Linked DNA regions of Pelodiscus sinensis. The protein of the gene in region 1 interacts with the protein of each later gene in a pairwise test. Links are inferred from orthologs where the notes say so. Each region holds a gene or a part of one and is shown on either strand. Other genes may lie near its edges.

Region 1 (10,013 bases):
GGAATCTCTTTAAAGCAATGTGATACTCCTTGTCCATTCAAAGTGTTGCCAATGGTTGTGTTCTTATACAGCTAGTCTTCATCCCTCACTGAAAAATTCTAAGTGTATTTGGACCCAGCAAATCTGGCGTAAAAGATAATCCTGTGTTCTAACAGAAAGTTACCACAACAATCACCCACAACAGTCACCACACAGCCTGAGAGAAAGCTGTTTTTAAAAGGGCCTAGCTACACAGCAGTGTTATTTCGGAATAACTGACATTATTCTGAAATAATATAGTCTGTGTCTACACTACAAGCAGCTATTTGCACAATGTCAAAATAATGTCAAGCTGGGGGACTTCTTACTCTGACTTCTGTAACCTTCATTTTACGAGGAGGAAGGCAAGTCGAAGGAAGAGTGCTTTTTCACAGACTTCCTGCTGCGTAGACAGCGCCAAAAGCCGAAATAAGCATTTCAACTTCAGCTACGCAATTGACGTAGCTCAAGTTGCATAGCTTATTTCAGCTTTAGCCCTGCTGTGTAGATGTGCCCTAAGTGCTTATTCATTAGGAAGCCAAATTTCCCAAGTGTCAGATAAGATTTGGCAGTTATGAAAGATATGAGAGAGTGAGTGAGTATATAACAAAATGCTCCAGGTACTCCCTTAAAGAGACTAGGGATGTTGGGGAGCATGTAATTCGGTAACCGTGTAGCTGACAAAAATTTTTGTTGGTTACACAATTAAGACTCTTGTGTCTCTGCATTTAAAGGATTTTGAGAGCTGGCATGCAGTCAGGCTGGCTTAGTCCTGGCTTGCATCAGGTCCCAGCAGCTACCCCCACTGCAGCTGTGCATTTAAAGTATCTCCCAAAATACTTGAACTGCTGAGCTGCAGCCGAGATAGCTGCTGGGACTCGGCGCAAGCCACGACTGAGCCAGCCTGACTGGGTGCCAGATCTCAAAATCCTTTAAATGCAGACACACAGAGGTGGGGGGGGGGGGGAGAATTGTGTGTAGCTGATAGCATTAACCGATAAGCATCCACATATCGGTTATTCATGTTCTACAGCCCTAAAGAGATGAGAGTCTCTAAGGGTGCATCTATACTACACCCTTAGCTCGAAATAAGATACACAATTTGCACTACGCAAATTGTGTAACTTATTTCAATTCTTTTTCGAAATAACACACTATTTTGAAACATCCCTTATCCCTCATGCAACGAGGTTTACAGGGATGCCAAAATAGCACATCTGCTATATTTTGCAATAGCAAACATGTTCAAAAGATGCAGGGTAGCTATTTCGGGATACCTCTGGTATTCTGAAATAGCCTTGCAGTGTAGACATACCCTAAGTCATTAGCACTTGACAGACTTGATGTATAAAGGCCCAGAAATATTCTGTTTCAGGATGCACAGAAACAGACTGAAATGTACTTGGAACTAACCAACAGAACAGACATAGCCATATTTCACTGTGTAGCACACAATTTATCACCAAGGGGAAGTCCCCTGTCTTGTTTCCTTCAATTAAATAATTTAGCAACTCCAATCACCATACTCTCCTAATTTCAGGTTTTTTGCTTTTGCATGGAACATCAGACAGACAAACAGTATCCCAGCCAGTGAAGTCTTTCCTACTGTATTACAGTAAAGAGGTACAATAAGTTTATTCCAGTTTTTCTTTGCTTTATTATATACTGTAGTCAGCTTTTATTAATTGTTTCTCAATATCTTGTATATCAGAGATATTTTGATTTGTTATCTTATAACTACAGACAGTCCCCGGGTTACATGGATCCGACTTACATCGGATCCCTACTTACAAACGGGGTGAGGCAACCCCGCACTAGCTGCTTCTCCCTAGCAGACCAGGGAGACACGAAGCTAGTGCCCCCCCCCCCCAGCAGACCAGGGAGACACGGAGCGGCTTTTCTTAGCAGACACCTCAGCTTGAGAATAAAGGACTGAGGGAAGTGAGGTGTGGGAGAATAAAACTGAGCTCTGGAGAAATGTTTGGCTAGAGTTTCCCCTACAATATGTACCAGTTCCGACTTACATACAAATTCAACTTAAGAACAAACCTACAGTCCCTATCTTGTACGTAACCCGGGGACTGCCTGTACAGTAAAAATATTCTTAAAAGGTGTTATAGAACATTTCTTTGGGCCTCCCATTGTATTTTCAGTTGTCTAGACCATAAATGCCGCAAGACAAGCCTTCTGAATCTTCTTTCATCCTGAACATAGTCATAATTTTAACATTCATCTTTGATGGTCATAAAATAAGTGCCGTATATAGAAGAATAATTGCTGAAAGGCATATGGCTTTTTTCCCCTAAGATTACAAATAATATATTATCAGATCTCCAGTCTGCTAGGGATGGTGTCCTTAACCTCTGTTTGCCAGAAGCTGGGAATGGACAATGGGATCCGTTACTTGAGGATTACCTGTTCTGTTCATTCCCTCAGTAGAACTGGCATTGGCCCATCAGAAGTCAAGATACTGGGCTAGATGAACCTTTGGTCTCACCCAGTATATCCATTCTTATGTTTTGCTTACTATATTTACATTAAGTAGCATGCAATTACTCTAGGTTGCATCTTTCCTGTGTAATATTTAACCTACTGAAAAGTCTTGAAGTATCTCACAGCTTCAACCTATTCTTAGATTTCTATGACTTATGGTTTCACTAAGGTTCCTAAAACAATGCTGTTACTAGCCTTAGCAAATTGATGGAACCCATGTTTACTGTTAAATGTATCTAATCACTCTTTAAGAAAAGGATAATTTGGAGGGTATTTTATTAAAACACAATGGCACTGAAGATTGGAAATTGTGACGCCAACATTTTAGTAGACATCAGTAGTGCTGGTCTTTGGCCCAACAAAACTCAACCATAATTGTTCATTTTTAAACCACATATAGCCTACTTGAAAAAAATAGGCACCTCTTCCCCCAGGTATGTAATGAACAAACTCCTACACCTTGCTCTGGATGCTGCAAGTTTTACCTTAGAAGAAAAGATTAGAATTTGCTACTCCAAAATTTGCATATGCTTATCAGCAGGGCTCACCAGCCGCGCTCTCTGTCGATCAGCGCATGCGCAGATCGCCCAAACCCGGCTCTTCCAGGTTGTAATCTACTCGCCATGGGCAAGTAGATTGCATTATTTGTCGAGCCCTGCTTATCAGGTAGTCAAATAGTGACTAGAGTAGTTGCTTCCTCCCATCTGTTGCCTCTATCAAAGAGAGTTAGCAAGGGGGGGAAAGCAGGGGCCGGTGCTGGAAGGAGCTGGCTCATGATTCCTGGCTCATGCCCAGTCTCTGATGCTGCACCTCTCCTTTTTAAATGTAGTAAGAGCCACCAGGTTCAGCTGATTCCTGGCTCATGCCCAGTCCCCTGGCTATACTTCTTCTGCCTTTTAAATTTATTAAGAACCGCCCCCTTTATTGACTAATCGAGTAGTCAATAGAAATTACACCAACTACTTGATTAGCTGACTGAACACAATTTAATATCCCTAATGTATGCAAAGTGTATTGCTCTGCCATGTATTTAATAACCTCAGCCCTTTATCATTTATCCATGTAATTATTACATGTGGGCTTTCTACACATTACATTTATTTCCGTTCAGTTGTTTTTTTAATCCCTTCTCGATGAATTTCTAACACTCCCACTGCAGTAGAGTCATGCACCAATACTAGTGAAGCTGTAGTGACACATGCTGAGTAGATTTTTAGCCTGTGGAGAAGAGTCCTGTGATGCTTGTTGCTATGTCACCCATCCCACGGGTCCCTGCTCTCCCTGAGAAAAGCTGGGATGAGTCACCTATGAATATTGCCTGATTTTTAGAGGATTTAACCTTTCAGTGGGAAGATTTTTGTATTTACATTGCCCACACCCACCCTCCCCTGACCACCAGATGGACCCACCTCCCCTCCCCGTCTCCCAGATCGACCCACCTCTCTCATCACCAGCCTGCCCTAGACCAATCCCCCTCACCCCCAGATCGACCCACCTCTCTCATCTCCAGCCTGCCCTAGACCAATCCCCCTCGCCCCCAGATCGACCCACCTCTCTGATCTCCCCCAGCCTTCCGCAGACGGACCCACCACTCTGCCCAGCCCCGGGACTGACCCACTTTTCCCATCCCCCCCCCACCATCCGCCAGAGCTACCCCCCCCCTCATCTCCAGGCTCTCCCAGACCGACCCACTCCCTCCTCATCCCCCAGATCGACCCACCTCCCTCATGCCCTCCAGCCTCTCCCTACCCAGGCCAGGTCCCGACACCCCAAGCCCCGGCCCCTCACCGGCGCGGGTTGCGCAGCTGCACGGTCTCCATGGCACCCTAGCGAAGCAGGGGAGGGCACGCACTCATTCCTCCATGACTCCAGCCGCTCACTCCCGGCGCTTTTCCAACGGCGCTTCCGCTTCACTTCCGCCTCCTCTCCATACGCCGGAAACAAGGGGCGGGCTCCCAGTCAAATGGGCTCATAGAAGCTGCTGCGCCGCCCACCTCCCCGGGGCGTGGTCCTTCCACTGGCTCCGCCCCTCCTCACTCAGAAGGGGCGGGCAGTTCCCTCGCGCGTTGGCTCAACGTCACCTCCTAAGGCAGGGTGTGTGCTGAGGGGTGAAGCAGCGATTTCCCAGCAGCCTCACCGCTTCCACCTATTTTTGCATACATTTAAATATTCCGAGCAAATAAATATCTCCCTGATTGCACTAAGCAGTGATTTTGAAGCCCACAACCCAGGCGCCAAAGCCCCTTGGTCTTTGCCCTAGAAACTACTCTCATCCTTTGGGACTCTGCTCTGGGAGTTGGAAGCAGCCCAGCAGCTTCCTGGACCTCTGCTTTCCTACTCAGTCAACCCTCTCCTGAGTGTGCTCCAAGCCTCCAACCTGTTATGGTTAATGTGGGGCAGAGGACAACAGCCTGCCCAAAGCAAATGGCCCTCAACCAGTTGGGAGGGGGCCATAAAACTCATGTAAAATTTGAGGACATCACATGAAAAAAAAGGAAGACAGGAAATATGGTTAAAGGTTAAAAACCAGGACACTGGAAGAGCAGCCTGAGCAAAGAACTCTTAACAGCACCTACTTCTCCTTACAGGTGTCTAAGGAGTCAGTGGGTGCAGCCCACAGGAACCTCTGCTTGCAGGTATGACTTAATGAGAGATCAGAAAATAGGTATTTCAGTTGCACAGCACCAACCAGCTTCCTCCTTATGGTTGTGATGGATGGCCAGCACCAGGACACAGTTGACACTGGCAACTCTGTGGATTCAGGAGATGGGTTGTGCATAAATGAGGCGAGGAGAGAAGTGGAGCTAGAATCTCAATAAGGGGTTCTAGAGAAGCTGTAAAAGGGGCTACAATATGATGTACCGTAGCTAAGTCTCCCTCTGGCTGCAGAGATGACAGATGTCAGGGGAGTCATGAACTGCATTAGGGACATATTTGGGACCATGTCCCCATGGAGGAGCCACCAACTCTCCAACAAGCCATTAAAACAAAATTAATACAGGCTGTCCCACTGGGTTGAATGTGCTCCAAGCTGCCACTGGAGAAGATGATCAGTTATTCACTCAAGAACTTGGCATAGTTCATCAACACTAGCTCCAGAAGCTAAAGCTAATTGCAAGAGGAAGAGGAAGACTTACCGTGTCATCCCAGGAGAAATGGGAGCTCCCCCCTGTTATTAGCAGAAGAGGGAATCAGAAGAGAGATGTATTCTCTGTTCTCCTTTCCTTTTATCCAGGGGTTAGCAACTTTTGGCACACAGCATATTAGGGCCCTGAGACAATTTGTTTATGTTGCGCATCCTCATGCACAGACTTCTCTGCCCCTAGTGGCCATAGTTCCTAAGTTTCCTGTACTCCTGGTAGTACTAAGTCTTATCTATATCATCACTGACAGGTGTTTGTGTAACCTGCTCTTTAAAATCTCCAGTGATGGAGATTCCATAACCTTGCTAGGCAATTCATTACAGTGCTTAACCACCCTGATAGGAAGGTTTTCCTAATGTCCAACTCAAAATGCCCTTGCTGTAATTTAAGCTCTTTGCTTTTAGTCCTATCCTCAAAGGTTAAAGAGAACAATTTTTATTCCTCTTTCTTGTAACAACCTTTTATGTACTTGAAAACTTTTATCGTATCCTTGCTGAGTCTTCTTCTCTGATCTAAATAAACCCATTTTTAAAAAAAATATTCCCTCATAGTCATGTTTTCTAGACCTTTAATCATTTTTATGACTCTCCTTTGAATCTGCTCCTAGTTTGTCCACATTTTTCCTGAAATATTGTGTCCAGAACTAGACACAATAGTCCAGCTGGGTTGGGTGGGTGGGTGGGTGGGTGTGTGTGTGTGTGTGTGTGTGTGAGAGAGAGAGAGAGAGAGAGAGAGAGAGAGCCTGGAGCTGGGGGTGAAAGGAGCTGTGGCTGAGGTGATAGCCCGGAGCTGGGGGTTAGAGGAGTTGAGGGTGTGTGATAACCCGGAGCTGGGGGTTCAGGGTACATGGGATGAGGGGAGCTGTTGCTGAAGGGAGCTGGGGGTGAGGGTGATAGCCCAGAGCTGGGGGGATTAGGGGAGCTGGGGGGGAGGTGATAGCCCAGAACTGGGGATTAGGAGAGCTGGGGGGGGGGGGGGGGTGATAGCCCAAAACTGGGGATTAGGAGAGCTGGGGGGGGTGATAGCCCAAAACTGGGGGTTAGGGAAGCTGGGGGGGGGGGTGATAGCCCAGAACTGGGGGTTAGGGGAGATGGGGGGGAGGTGATAGCCCAGAACTGGGGGTTAGGGGAGCTGGGGGGGAGTGATAGCCCAGAACTGAGGGTTAGGAGAGCTGGGGGGGAGGGTTAGGGTTAGGGGAACTGGGGGGTGATAGCCTAGAACTGGGGGTTAGGGGAGCTGGGGGGAGGTGATAGCCCAGAACTGGGGGTTAGGAGAGCTGGGGGGGAGGGTTAGGGTTAGGGGAACTGGGGGGGAGGGTTAGGGGAACTGGGGGGGGGTGATAGCCCAGAACTGGGGGTTAGGGGAGCTGGGGGGGAGGTGACAGCCCAGAACTGGGGGTTAGGGGAGCTGGGGGGGAGGTGATAGCCCAGAACTGGGGGGTTAGGGGAGCTGGGGGGGGTGATAGCCCGGGGCTGGGGAGTTAGGAAACCGGGGGGGGGGGGGTGATAGCCCGGGGCTGGGGAGTTAGGAAACTGGGAGGGGGGGGTGATAGCCCGGGGCTGGGGAGTTAGGAAACCGGGGGGGGGGGGTGATAGCCCGGGGCTGGGGAGTTAGGAAACTGGGAGGGGGGGGGTGATAGCCCGGGGCTGGGGAGTTAGGAAACCGGGGGGGGGGGTGATAGCCCGGGGCTGGGGAGTTAGGAAACTGGGAGGGGGGGGGGGTGATAGCCCGGGGCTGGGGAGTTAGGAAACCGGGGGGGGGGGGGTGATAGCCCGGGGCTGGGGGTTAGGGGAGCTGGGGGGGTGATAGCCCGGGGCTGGGGAGTTAGGAAACCGGGGGGGGGTGATAGCCCGGGGCGGGGGGGTGTATCCCTCCCCCACCACCGACCCCCGCCCTGCGCCAGGGGAGCGGAGCCTCCAGCCGGGGCAGTTCCGGAGAAGGGGCCGGGCTCCCGGGCGCAGGAGGCGGGGCCGCCGGTGCCGGCCGGCAGGAAGCAGTAGAAGGCTCTAGAGCGGAGACTGCCGCTCTCCGAGCTCCATGGCCCGCGCGGGCCGGGTGTCCGAGCTGCGCCGCGCCGGGAACGAGCAGTTCCGCAGCGGCCAGTACTGCCAGGCGGCCGCGCTCTACAGCCAGGCGCTGGGGCTGCTGGAGGCGGCAGGTACGGGCGGGGGCGGGCCCCGGGGGGGCGCAGCTGCCGTGTCCCGTGGGGGGGGAGGGCGCGGATCTGCTTCCCCTTGGGGCCCGGGGTCTGAACCCGCCTTTCCCCTCAGCCTGGGCCCGGGCCCTGGTGTTCAAAACGGCCCCTCCCCCGCATTCTGGGCGGAAGCGCCTTTCCCTCCCCTAAAATCACTGCTCTTCCCTGGCCCGTGGACTTGGGGAGGGTGTTAAAGCCTCCCCGCTCCCCTCCGTTCCCCCGCTTTCCCGTGGGCGCAGAGCTGCGTGTGCTCGTTCCTTTGAGCGATGGCATATGGCCCCGTGCCTGTGCCTTACACCGCTGCTGGGGCCCCAGGAGGTAGGTAGAGGCACTGAACCAGGTGCTGGGGAAAGGGAGACCATCCCTGTAGTGTGACCTCCACAGCTGAGCCCGATCCAGTATTTACAGGCATGGCTATTCAAACACAAATCACTAGGACACTGCAAGGGTTCATAAACTCTTCTCCCCCCCCCCCCCCCATTTGAAAATGGTTTCATATAGACAGCAAATGGATGTCCCTTTAATAGTCTAGGTGACAAAATGTCCACAAGGCTGCACCCCCACATCAGAGATGGGCAACCTAAGTTAGTGAGTGGGCCACATGAGTGGCCCTTCTTCATCTCACTGGGCCACATGATTGTTGTAACCAAGACAGTCTCCTGGGATAGGGTAGTTTTGGTAACTACGCTTGCATGCCTGGAATTTTCTGGTGTGCCGACTGAACCTTAGCGGCGCTTTGATTGGATGCAGAGGGAACGCATGGCTTTTACAGTCAGTGTTGTGTGCAGTCAGTATGCACCTCGCTTCACGTGCCCTTGCCTTAAGTGCATGTCACTTTAGTAATACCTGAAAGGAAAAAACTATGTAGACAGAAATGGCTGCGTCTAGATTGGCATGATTTTCCGGAAATGCTTTTAACGGAAAACTTTTCCGTTAAAAGCATTTTCAGAACAGAGCGTCTAGATTGGCACGCACGTTTTTCTGCAACAGCACTTTTGCGGAAAAGCGTCCGTGCCAATCTAGACGCACTTTTCCGCAAAAAAGCCCCGATCACCATTTTCGCGATCGGGGCTTTTTTGCGGAAAACAAATCTGAGCTGTCCACACCGGCGCTTTTGCACAAAAGCTTTATGCAAAAGGGACTTTTGCCTGAATGGGAGCAGAATAGTATTTCCGCAAGAAGCACTGATTTCTTACAGTAGGAAGTCAGTGCTTTTGCGGAAATTCAAGCGGCCAGTGTAGACAGCTGGCAAGTTTTTCCAGAAAAGCGGCTGATTTTCTAATAAAACTGGCCAGTGTAGACATAGCCAAATCAGCAGAATCTGTCAACCTTGCAGATGGGCAACAGTAAAAGTGTTTTGTAGGCCACACATAGAACCCCAATGGGTTAAGTGTTGCCCTCTGGCCAGAGGTTGCCCACCAGTGCCCTACACTGAACAGCTTTATGGACATATACAGCTTGACTTTGTTGCCATGCGTGTGTAAAAGAGTGTAAAGGAAGACCGCTGCAGGTCTTTAGGCCGCAAACTTACCCTGCCATAAAGTTACTAGTGCTTTTTGAAACTCTTCTGCAAGCCATGACGTTTCACTAACTCTGACTACCACCATATGGTGTGTCTACCTATTGCACCATTGAAAAGGCCAAATTACTGAATTATGGACAGGTGAAAAAGAGACAGCCTGGCAGCTAGGTAGTTGTAAGCTCCAAGCCTAGAATCTGATCCTTACGTTGGGCAGTTCACTTAGCCTGCCTCTCTCTCTTCATCTTTAGGACAGGGAAAATAGTGTTTTTCTGCCTCTCAGGAGGCCTGAGGATTAATTAGCTAATGCTTTGGAGATAAAAAATGTTGAGTACTATTGCTAGTACCGATAGTGATATCAGCAGTAAACCTCTCTGTTCTTTCTCCATCCGTGACTTGAATACCTGTAATTGCCACGGTGCATGGAGTCTTGCTTTCTGCAGCAAGTGGCTGCCTCAAATGAGGTAGCTTTAAGGTCTATTGAATACTGTTATGCACGTCACAATTTGATTTGTTTTGTTTTCTGTCTCTGCTCTTAGGGGAGAGGAATGCTGAAGAAGCAAGTGTCCTCTATTCAAACAGAGCTGCCTGCTACTTGAAAGATGGAAATTGTAGTCTCTGTGTTAAGGACTGTTCAGTGTAAGTG
Region 2 (10,049 bases), on another chromosome or scaffold:
TATTACTCTTTGGAACGCTGTTTCCCTCCCTTAACTATTTACTGAATAAAAAGTTTCTATAACAAAAGCATAACTCTGTCAAGTAAAAAATTCCATATATGAGGTCAGTAACCTTAAAGTCTTGACATTCTTGATGGCAGAGCTATTTTCTTTGACACAGCAGATTTAATATTTTGCTTACAGCTTACATGTAAAGACAAAATGACAGTGAAAACGCTTTATGTACATGTTTAAAGTTTAAAACAGTTTCTTCAAATATTCTTGGCATAAGTTTTTTTTTTGTATTTATCAAATATTACAAGTTCTCTCTTTTTAAGGTCACTTTTCTACAGCTAAGAGTGATTCCACAGATGCTGTACAAGTTTCACAGATTCTCAGCAACTTGCCATTGTAAACAGAAGATTCACAACAAAACATCACACAAAAATATTCAGGGATGCCAAAGCATGCATTAATAAACATTCTGGATTGCCTCTCCTTTTATACTGTTGTTTTATTGGATGAAGAAAATATGTTCCACTTAAAGAGAAGGAAACAGATGGGCAATTTCTTTTTAAAAAATGTATACAGGAAGACAGAAAAAAAAATGAAGAGCCAAAAAGAAATCTAGAATTACCATGCTGTAATACCATTTAAGTTTTGATTATACAAATCATTGTATCGTCCCTCTTGTTTATGAACAGTCTGATATCAAATACCACAAAACTACACAATTTATGCCTGTCAGTTATTCTAAAAATATTTAATGGTGCAAGTTGGCAAAAGGAAGCCATCTAATGGCTATGATGTTCCCACAATGATGTATTTTAAAAGTGCAGATTAATATAAATTTTCATTACATTTTAACAAATGGGACTAAAATGTGCAAGTATCCCAAAATTAATTGTGACAGTTTTATCTCATTTTTTTGAGTGAGCTAGTCATAATGTAAGGGGACGAGTACTTCATAATCCATGAGAGAATACCACTCACTTGGGCTTCCATTTGGCACTCAATTAAAATGCAGTATTCTTTTTAGCTCTTGAAATTGTAGGGGAAAAAATAGGTCACTTAATAGTAGGATAGTACATATTAAATAAATGATACTTAAAAATTACTTTTAAAATTCAGAAGTACATAAAGAAATAAAGGCTCGGTGGCTTCTGGAAAATGGTATACTTCGTTTAATATTGTAATTTTTTACAAATATATCTGTTAAACTTAAGTTGGGCCGAACACATGATTCCACAATTCTGCCAAGGAAGTTAATAAGTTTAATATTAAAAATTTATCCTATAAAGTCCCCTTTAAAAAAAAGTCTGACCCTTTTTTTTGTGTGTGCATTTCTCTTCGCTTTCCAAAAAGATATGCAGGCCTATTTCATGGTCACCATAAACTTAAGCATAACTTAAGCATAAACAAACAGTTTCAGAAATGTAATTATAAATAGGAGAACTAGAATATATAATGCAATACTAACAGAAAAACATGACTGGGGCATCATTAAGAAATACTTCCCAAGTATTTTTTAAAATAAACACTTGCCTGATGTGTGCCTCCCTTGATTCTGTGACATCCTTTGGAAGAGATCATTGTTGTGTCCATAGCATCTGCAGTCCTCATGTACACGCTCACTTAGCTGATGCCTCCTTTGACTCTCGTAATAATAGGGGTAACCAGCATCTCCATTTTCAGTAACTGTTGCCAACTGTCTTGCAGGATAGGAAGGCGCAGATAGTCTATTGCTTTCTCGCCTCAATATTTCATGAGGTGGCCTCTGAACTGGAGTTCTAAGGAAACTTTGGTTTCTAGAAACTATTCCATCTCCACCAGGAGAGTAGGCAGAAGAACTTGAGTCAGGAAGGCAGATATCAGTACGCCTTGGAATGGTTGGACCATGACGGATAAATGAAGGCATCAGATCTGTAAGAGTAAAACATTATAATTTAACAAGTCTCAGGGGGTAGCCATGTTAGCCTGTAACTTTAAAAACGAGTAGTCCTGTGAAACCTTAAGAGACTGTGGTGTCACAGGACTACTTAATGTGTCATTTAATACAAACTTTACTACCACAAATATCCCAATTAAGAGCAAAATAGGTACACTAATTGTAGAAGCCAGGAAATGCAAAGCTAAAGTTTTCAAAGTAACATTAACTCAGCCATTTTCAACAAATGTACATTATAAAACATGCTTTAAGAACATGTTTAATATGAAACAAACATGCAGAGTCAGAGTTTAAGGCTAGAAGAGACCCTCAGATAAACTACTAGTCTGACCTCAGATGTATCACAGGCCATGTATACATTGCAGCCACATGCACACTAGATCCAACATACAGAACAGCAAGGACCAAAGGGCACCAGTGCCCAAGGCCGTGACTTGCACTCCACACTACAAAGGAAGATGAAAGTCTTCAAGGTCACCACCAACCTGATGGAAGATAAAATTATTTCTTCACCTCCCATATAGTGATCAGTTAGATCTGGAGCAGGTGAGTAAGAACCCACCAGCTTAATAGCTGAAGGAGTTCTCAGAGCCCTAGCTCACCTTGCTTTTTCATTTCGCTATCTCAGATCATCTCATATTAAACCTCACAACGGTCATCTAAGGAACATGTCTCAGTCCATAAAATGTGGATAAAGAGTTGATTAGATTCTAAGTTCTTTAGAGGAGAGGTTTTTAGTTGGTTCCTGTAGTGACTAGCACAACAGTGTCTCTAGATACAAATGCAACATACAAATTATTTGTATTTCAGTAGCTTCGAAGGAACCTAAGCCTGAAGCCCAGTTATGCTAAGCACTATATGCTATTACAAGAGGCAGCTCTTGCTCAGAAGTGTTTACAATCTCAATTCACAAGATAGGCCAAAGATGAGAGGAAAAAGAGCAGCACAGATTTCGGAACTCAAATCTCAACTTCCAATCATGTGCCCTATCATGAAATCTGTATTTATGTAGTTACTGTGAGTATGTAAGCAACTTGCCCACTGTTTCACCAGAAGCCTGGAATATTTTACTGCACGTATATAACAGTATTGATATTTTACAGTATGTATATAACAGAGGTGGTCAAACTTACTGACCTGAGCCTAGTATTACAATCTGCAGAAGTGTGCCTTGTGGGGAGGATCCTCTGGGGCTCAAGCCCTGATCCAGCTCAAGCCCGAGACCTGGCATGCACCTCCCACAAGGCTGAAGCCCCAAGACACCTCCACACCGGGGAAGAAGCAGCCCTAGCCCCACCACTCCATTGCAGGGCAGAAAAGATGAGCTTCCCTCCTCCAGCTTGACAGGCAGAAAATGGGGGGGGGGGGGGGGGTGAAATGAGAGGGTTCTGAAAGCTGCACTTTAACTGTGTCAACCACATGCAGTTTGCGATCTGCAATCTGGCCACCCCTGCTATATCACAGGGCCTAACTAGCAACCCTGTAAATCACAATGCTTAATTTATTAACCATAGTGTTACATTAATATCATGGCATTTAACACCTCAGCTTTAAGGAAACTGCCATAAAACATGGACACTAAAGGCTATTCTGGTTCAGATTAAGGATGTTAAAATGTGTTTAGTTAAGTAATCATGTAACCACTGAAAATGTCAGTGGTTATATGGTTATCCCCACCTGCCACCCTGTACTGATGCCTCTGTATCAACACCCAAGGAGCACAACCTAAACATGCAAAGATCATTTTCCAATAGTACGTTTGCAGATCTTGCAGTTGCAAAGGTAACTCTTCAAACAATATGATGCACCGCTGTCACATTTAGGCTTTGTGTACACTGCTAAAAAAGATGTGTTTTTACCATGGGTTAACCAATCTACATTATCCAGCCTGCCACAAAATCTAGTAGAGGTGGAACCATGAGATAGAACCGCAGGGGGAGGAATCTAGCACTGACCTTGCCGAGCCACCAACTTGAGATAAAAACTGCAGATGCTCCCCCCCCCCCCCCCCCGAGGCCGCTCCCCTCCGGCTCCTGCAAGCCCCCCTCCTGGTGGCTACTCCCCCCCCCCGGCTCCCACAACCCCCCTATCCAGGGGGCCACACACCCCCCGGCTCCCGCAACTCCCACCCTCGGGAGCCACCCCCCCCCACGGCTCCCACAACCCCCCCCATCCTGGGGGCCACCCCCCCCACGGCTCCCGCAACCCCCCCCATCCTGGGGGCCACCCCCCCCACGGCTCCCACAACCCCCCCCATCCTGGGGGCCACCCCCCCCCACGGCTCCCACAACCCCCCCCATCCTGGGGGCCACCCCCCCCCCACGGCTCCCACAACCCTCCCCATCCTGGGGGCCACCCCCCCCCACGGCTCCCACAACCCCCCCCATCCTGGGGGCCACCCCCCCCCCACGGCTCCCACAACCCCCCCCATCCTGGGGGCCACCCCCCCCCACGGCTCCCACAACCCCCCCATCCTGGGGGCCACCCCCCCCACGGCTCCCACAACCCCCCCCATCCTGGGGGTCACCCCCCCCCACGGCTCCCACAACCCCCCCCATCCTGGGGGCCACACACCCCCCGGCTCCCGCAACCCCCCCCCCCCGGGAGCCACCTCCCCGGCTCCCCCCCATCCAGGGGGCCACACCCCCCCGCTCCCGCAACCCCCCCCGCGGAGAGCGCCCCCCCGGGCGCGGGCCGGGCACTCACTGCGCAGCAGCGGGCTGGTCTCCTTCTTGACGTACTTGCCCTGCACCTCGCCGGGCTTGGCGAGCTCCGCGCGCGTCTTCTTCCGGGACAGCATCCCCGCCGCGCGCCGCGCCCGCCCGCATGGCCCGCCTCCATGGGGCCGCTCCGCCGCGCGCTGCCTGCTGGGACACCGGCAGCGCCCGCCTCGCTCCGCGGCAGCGCCCCCTGCGGCGGGGAGGACGCAGCGGAGGGGCGGGGTCTGCCCCTGGCTCCACCCCTTACCCCGTGACAGGGAGGGAGGGGCGGGGCTTTCCTGGAGGAGGGGGAGGAGCCTGTAGCCCCCCCCCCACTATGGGGGGGCAGGGGCCATTCTAGTCCAGGCAGCCTCCTAGGGCCTGAGCAGCAGGCTCTATGGAGCGGGCAGCTCAAAGCCGGGGGCAAAGGCAGGTTCCCCCCCCAGCTCTGGCTCCGCCCCACTCCCCCCCCAGCTCTGGCTCCGCCCAGCTCCCCCCCCAGCTCTGGCTCCGCCCAGCTCCCCCCCCAGCACCGGCTCCACAGCTCCCATTGGCCGGGAGCCACAACTAAGGGGAGCCACAGGGGCCACGTGTGCGGGCGCAGGCCGGGCACGCAGGCTCCCGGGCCAATAGCACCGCTTCATGTGAGCACTGCCCTGACCCCGCACTCCCTCCCGTGCCCCCCTCCCCAGAGCCCACACAACCGTGCACCCCAAGCCCCTCCCCCGGCACTAGCCCTCTCCTGCAGCTCCACTCCCTCACCCCTGGCCTGGGATCCCACACCCTCAGCTCTCACCCCCTCCCACATTCCCACCTGCTGCCCCAGTGAGGGAGGGGCAGGGGGATGGATTAAGAGGATGGGGCCAGAGCAGGACAAAGGTGTGCTAAGGTTCGTGTCCTTAGGAAGTTGGCAACACTATGCCCAAGAGCAGCCCATCGCCTCATCCCCATCACTCAAGGCAGGTGGATGGTCTGTGGCTTCCCAGTTACCTGAGTGGTTCTGACCAGCCGGGCCATGCTCCAATGCACTGTCACGGGCTGGAAGCTGTAGGGAGCCATGGACACATCACCTGTCCTGGGCAGGGGAAAGGAGGCGGCAGGAATTTGGGCTACTCATGGACACAGGATTGCCCAAGCAGCAATTTTCAAAAGCACCTAGTTGGTTAGGGAATCTAGATTTTTCTACAATTGTTGTATTCAAAAGTAAGAGTACACTTTACAATTTTAAGCCTAACCAGTGTCTCTCAAGTGACATGACACATGATGTCAGAACATGTTACTATTAGACCTGAATGGGTCTAATATGAAACATTTTTTCTTTACATTGGAATTAGAGGTAGTGGTCCTGTCAGCTACTTTCTAAGTTAGTCTACAAAAAAAAAAAATCTGTCACTTTCATATGCCCAAGTAGCCCCTGGAATTGCAGTTAAAGTTGCCATCTCCTACCAGAATCTGAAATGGCACCTTCTGCAGGGTTCAGAAGGCCAGCCACCTTAAAACGGGCAGGACAGGTCTAAGGCCAAGGCAGCCCCCTTCATTTCAGCCAGCAGTCAGGGCTATCCCCAGCCATAAGGGGCCTCCCTGGGACAGTTGAGGTTGGTGGGCAGGCCTAGCCGCTCATGAAAGCTGGGGTGGGGCAGGGAGGAGAAGAGACCAGGACACAAGATGGGAGCAGAAATGGGTTCAGTCCAGGGAGACATGAAGGCGGCTGGGAGGCAAAAGAGGGCAGGAACAGGCCCACATTAGGCTGGAAGACACAAGAGGCCTAGAAAAGGCCCAGAAAAGGGTTAGGAGGGGGAAAAGACGAGGGGACATGAAGGGCCAGGAATGAGAACAGACAAGAGTGACGGGGCAGGAGAAAGAGACTGGAAGACATAAGGGGACAAGAACGAACCTAAAGGCTACGTCTACACTGCACAGTTATTTCAGAATAAGCTATTCCGAAATAGCTTATTTTGAAATAGCTTGTCTAGACTGCAGGGAAGCCTCAAAAGTAGTCCGAGATAGCACGTCAACATTAGGGAAGCCTCTCTCACTTTACAGCCTCAGGAAGAATAACTTAGAAGGGCCCTGGTGAGGGGCTATTTCGAAATAGCAGGAGAGGCGCGTCTACACACACCTTCTTTTGAAATAGGCATTATTCTTCGTAGAATGAGGTTTACGGAAGTCAGAATAAACCGTCCATTTTTTCAAAATAACGGCATTGCTGTGTAGATGCTCACATAGTTATTTCAGAATAACGGCCGTTATTCCGAAATAACTTTGCTGTGTAGACACACCCAAGATGAGGCCCAAGGGCAGGAGGACGCAGGAAGGGAACACACAGGATATACATTGTATGTCAGATCACCCCCCCCCTTATGGTGTTGGCCAGGCATAAGGCCTAAGAGCTGGGCCTAGGAAGAAGATTTGTAGGGGAGAGGGGGGCCCCTGATCTACAGAAAAAAAATCAGTTGGGGGCTGCACACAAGTGAGAAGCAAATAACTCAAACCCTCACTGATGTGGCCCTCAGCTGAGGAGGAGAAAGACACTCCCCACATTCCCCTCACACCTCAGAGCCTGGGGGGGAGGGGAAGGGCAGGATAGTAGATTGTGTGCTCCAGCCCCAAGGGGGAACAGTGGGGAGGCTGGAGTGCCAGCGTGGGCTCCCCAATGCTAGGAAAGATCCCCAGGTCTCAGGGGCCGGATTCAGGCAAGTTAGGGGCTGCATCCAGTCCCTGGGCCTTAGGTTCCCCACCCTTGGTCTTGGGCCACCCATCTTTTGTTCCCTTTGAAGGGCTGGTCACCTTCTATTCTGAAAGGGGTTGCAACAAACTCCCTCAGAAGGTGAATTTTACCCCCACAGGCTTGTTCTCATTCTCCAGCCTGTGTTAGATTCCTGGTGGGCCAGTTGCCTAGCAGGTGTCTCACGTGAACACTTGCCCTGACTGAAAAGAAAGAGCCAGTAGGATAATGGATGAGCACGTTGCAAAGCTAGTGGAGGTGTGTAAACTGCACGTTTTTATCACTGCAGCAACGAGGACTCCATTGTGCTTGGTGCTGGACATGCACACAACTATCACTCCCTGCCCCAAGGAGATTACAATCGAAGTGGAAGACAAGGGACAACAAATGGATACTGCCAGGAAAGCACAAGGAACAGAGACAAGATCTGGTCCGTATTATAGGCAGAGGTTGCAGCACACTAGCATCAAAAATGGCAGAGAAACCAACCCTTCAGCAGTGCAAATTAGTGAGCATTCTCTAATTTATTACCAACAGAAAAGCATATTTGAAGTTATATGCCATACCTGGGACCTCAGGAGCTTAGTGCATAAGCCTCTACTGCAGGGGTGGGGAACCTTTCTTGGGTCGGGGGCCACTGACCCACAGAAAAATGAGTTGGGGGCCGCACACAAGTGAGAAGCAAAAAAAACCTCAACACAAACAAACGTGGCCCCGACTGAGGAGAGAGACTCCTCATGTTCCCCTCACACACCAGAGCCTGGGTGGGGGACGGACCAGCCTAGTAGATTTTGTGTGCTCCAGCCCTGCGGTGGAACAACAGAGGAGCTGGAGTACCAGCGCAGGCTCCCCAATGCTGGGGGAGACCCTGAGCCTCGGGGGCCGGCTCCAGGCAAGCCGGGAGCCACATCCAGCCCCCGGGCCTGAGGTTCCCCAGCCCTGCTCTACCGCTTGAGCTGAAAGCCAGTTGGCGCAGCTAAGGTTGTAGAGAAGAATCATTGTTCTCTTTCTTTAAGTGGTTTAAGTGCCACTACATGTGACAGTGAACCACACCCAGTAGGTGGGTGGGTTACATATACACGAACAAAACATGAGGGAAATTTAATCCTAAAATCTATTTAAACATTTTTCTCTATAGCAATGCAATCTAATTATGGATTAAAGATTAGTCTTTCAATAAGAGTATTTACTTGTAACAATGATTAAGAGGGAAAACAATGGAGAATGAAAACAGGCTAAAAGTAAAAATATTTCGAGGTAGGTTCATTATTAATTCACTTTTTGCTCCCTAAATTGGTGTATCTTTTTCCATAATGGAAAATTCATAATGTTTTTATCATTAATTGCAAACCTGTCAGTTTATTACTATTTTATTCAGTTTAAAATTTAGCTTGGATTAGTAAATGCATATGAATTACAAGTGAATAGTGCAATTGGTCTCCACGACAAAATACTCATTTTCATGCAAGAAAAAAACCAAAAGCAAGTAATGAGTACAGTAATTTATATTTTTAATGTCCATATAAACCATTTTGGTTTGTCTTTCTGTTTTACATGATGGTATAAAGACAACTGATGTAATACAGTACACGTGGAACCTCTCTAGTCTGGAACTCTGGTCCTGCAACATCTGTGGTCCAGCATCATTTTAGTTAGCCCGATGTCCACTTATGGGGTGAAGTTTCCCATGGTCCCATAAAGTTTATTTACAGCCACCAGGCCTGGCTCTCAGTGTTCGGTGCTGTTCTTTAGCTCTAATTTACCCCTGAATGTCTTCTAAGAGCCCAGTAAGCAGAGGGTGTGTTGATAATGCAGGTAGACAATACTGACCTCCTGTGGTCTGGCAAATTCTCTGGTTCAGCACTGGTCAGGTCCCAAGTATGCCAGACTAGAGAAGTTCTACCTGTATATTATAGGGAACTGGACTTGACCTCTTGAATTTTTTTCCAGTTCTATGATATAATAAAAATATACCCACTGGTCTTCATCTTTACATACGTTAATTATCACTAATTACAGCATTTGACATTTAGTGGGAACAGAAGCTATTCTGAACGGCAGCAAAGCAACAGAATGCAGTTGTGACAATGATGTCCTTTGCTTTAGATTTACCAACGCAAACTGTTCCCTTAAACCATTTTATACAACATCCATACATGGCAAATGTCAGTTGGGTTGCAATCTTTTTGCTCAGACAAAAATAAAAAAAATCCCTCTCTGAATTGAAATTCAGCTGCAACTGAGTGAGGAAAGGGTGCTAAATTAACCTTTTATCCTTTTACCAATGCAAACAGACACACCACTCTTTAACTGTGCAGATATAACACAATCCCTCAAGTTGTTTGGAATGAATTCATATACAATTCCCCACCCAAAAAACCTCACAACCCCAAAACTTCTCATTTTCACAGCGATTCACATAGTATGGTGTAGGAAAGAATTGATAGTATTTTTTGAAACATTGTAGTATCATCTTTGAATTGGCAAGACCCATTGGCTACGTCTAGACTGGCCCCTATTATGGAATAGGGATGCAAAGCAGGCAAGTCAGAATAGGGAAATCCGCAGAGGATTTAAATATCCCCCGCGGGATTTAAATAAACATGGCCGCCGCTTTTTTTCCGGCTTGGGGAAAAGCCGGAAAAGAGCGTCTAGACTGGCGCGATACTCCGGAATAAAGCCCTTTTCCGGAGGATCT

What was found.
Region 2: the proteins of STK4 (region 1) and SAV1 interact in binary tests that used the Homo sapiens proteins (3 or more experiments, as listed by UniProt). The link is inferred for Pelodiscus sinensis from reciprocal best matches to the Homo sapiens genes STK4 and SAV1.

The regions. Positions count from the first base shown.
Region 1 is NC_134728.1:23,719,670-23,729,682, reverse strand, and holds the start of STK4 (serine/threonine-protein kinase 4), read right to left. Parts: upstream 4,467-10,013; 5' UTR 4,332-4,466; coding exon 4,300-4,331; intron 1-4,299. Other genes in the region: TOMM34 (mitochondrial import receptor subunit TOM34), read left to right, coding at 7,692-7,812, 9,907-10,006. UniProt on the Homo sapiens protein: Stress-activated, pro-apoptotic kinase which, following caspase-cleavage, enters the nucleus and induces chromatin condensation followed by internucleosomal DNA fragmentation.
Region 2 is NC_134714.1:6,344,011-6,354,059, forward strand, and holds the start of SAV1 (protein salvador homolog 1), read right to left. Parts: upstream 4,818-10,049; 5' UTR 4,728-4,817; coding exon 4,634-4,727; intron 1,903-4,633; coding exon 1,525-1,902; intron 1-1,524. UniProt on the Homo sapiens protein: Regulator of STK3/MST2 and STK4/MST1 in the Hippo signaling pathway which plays a pivotal role in organ size control and tumor suppression by restricting proliferation and promoting apoptosis.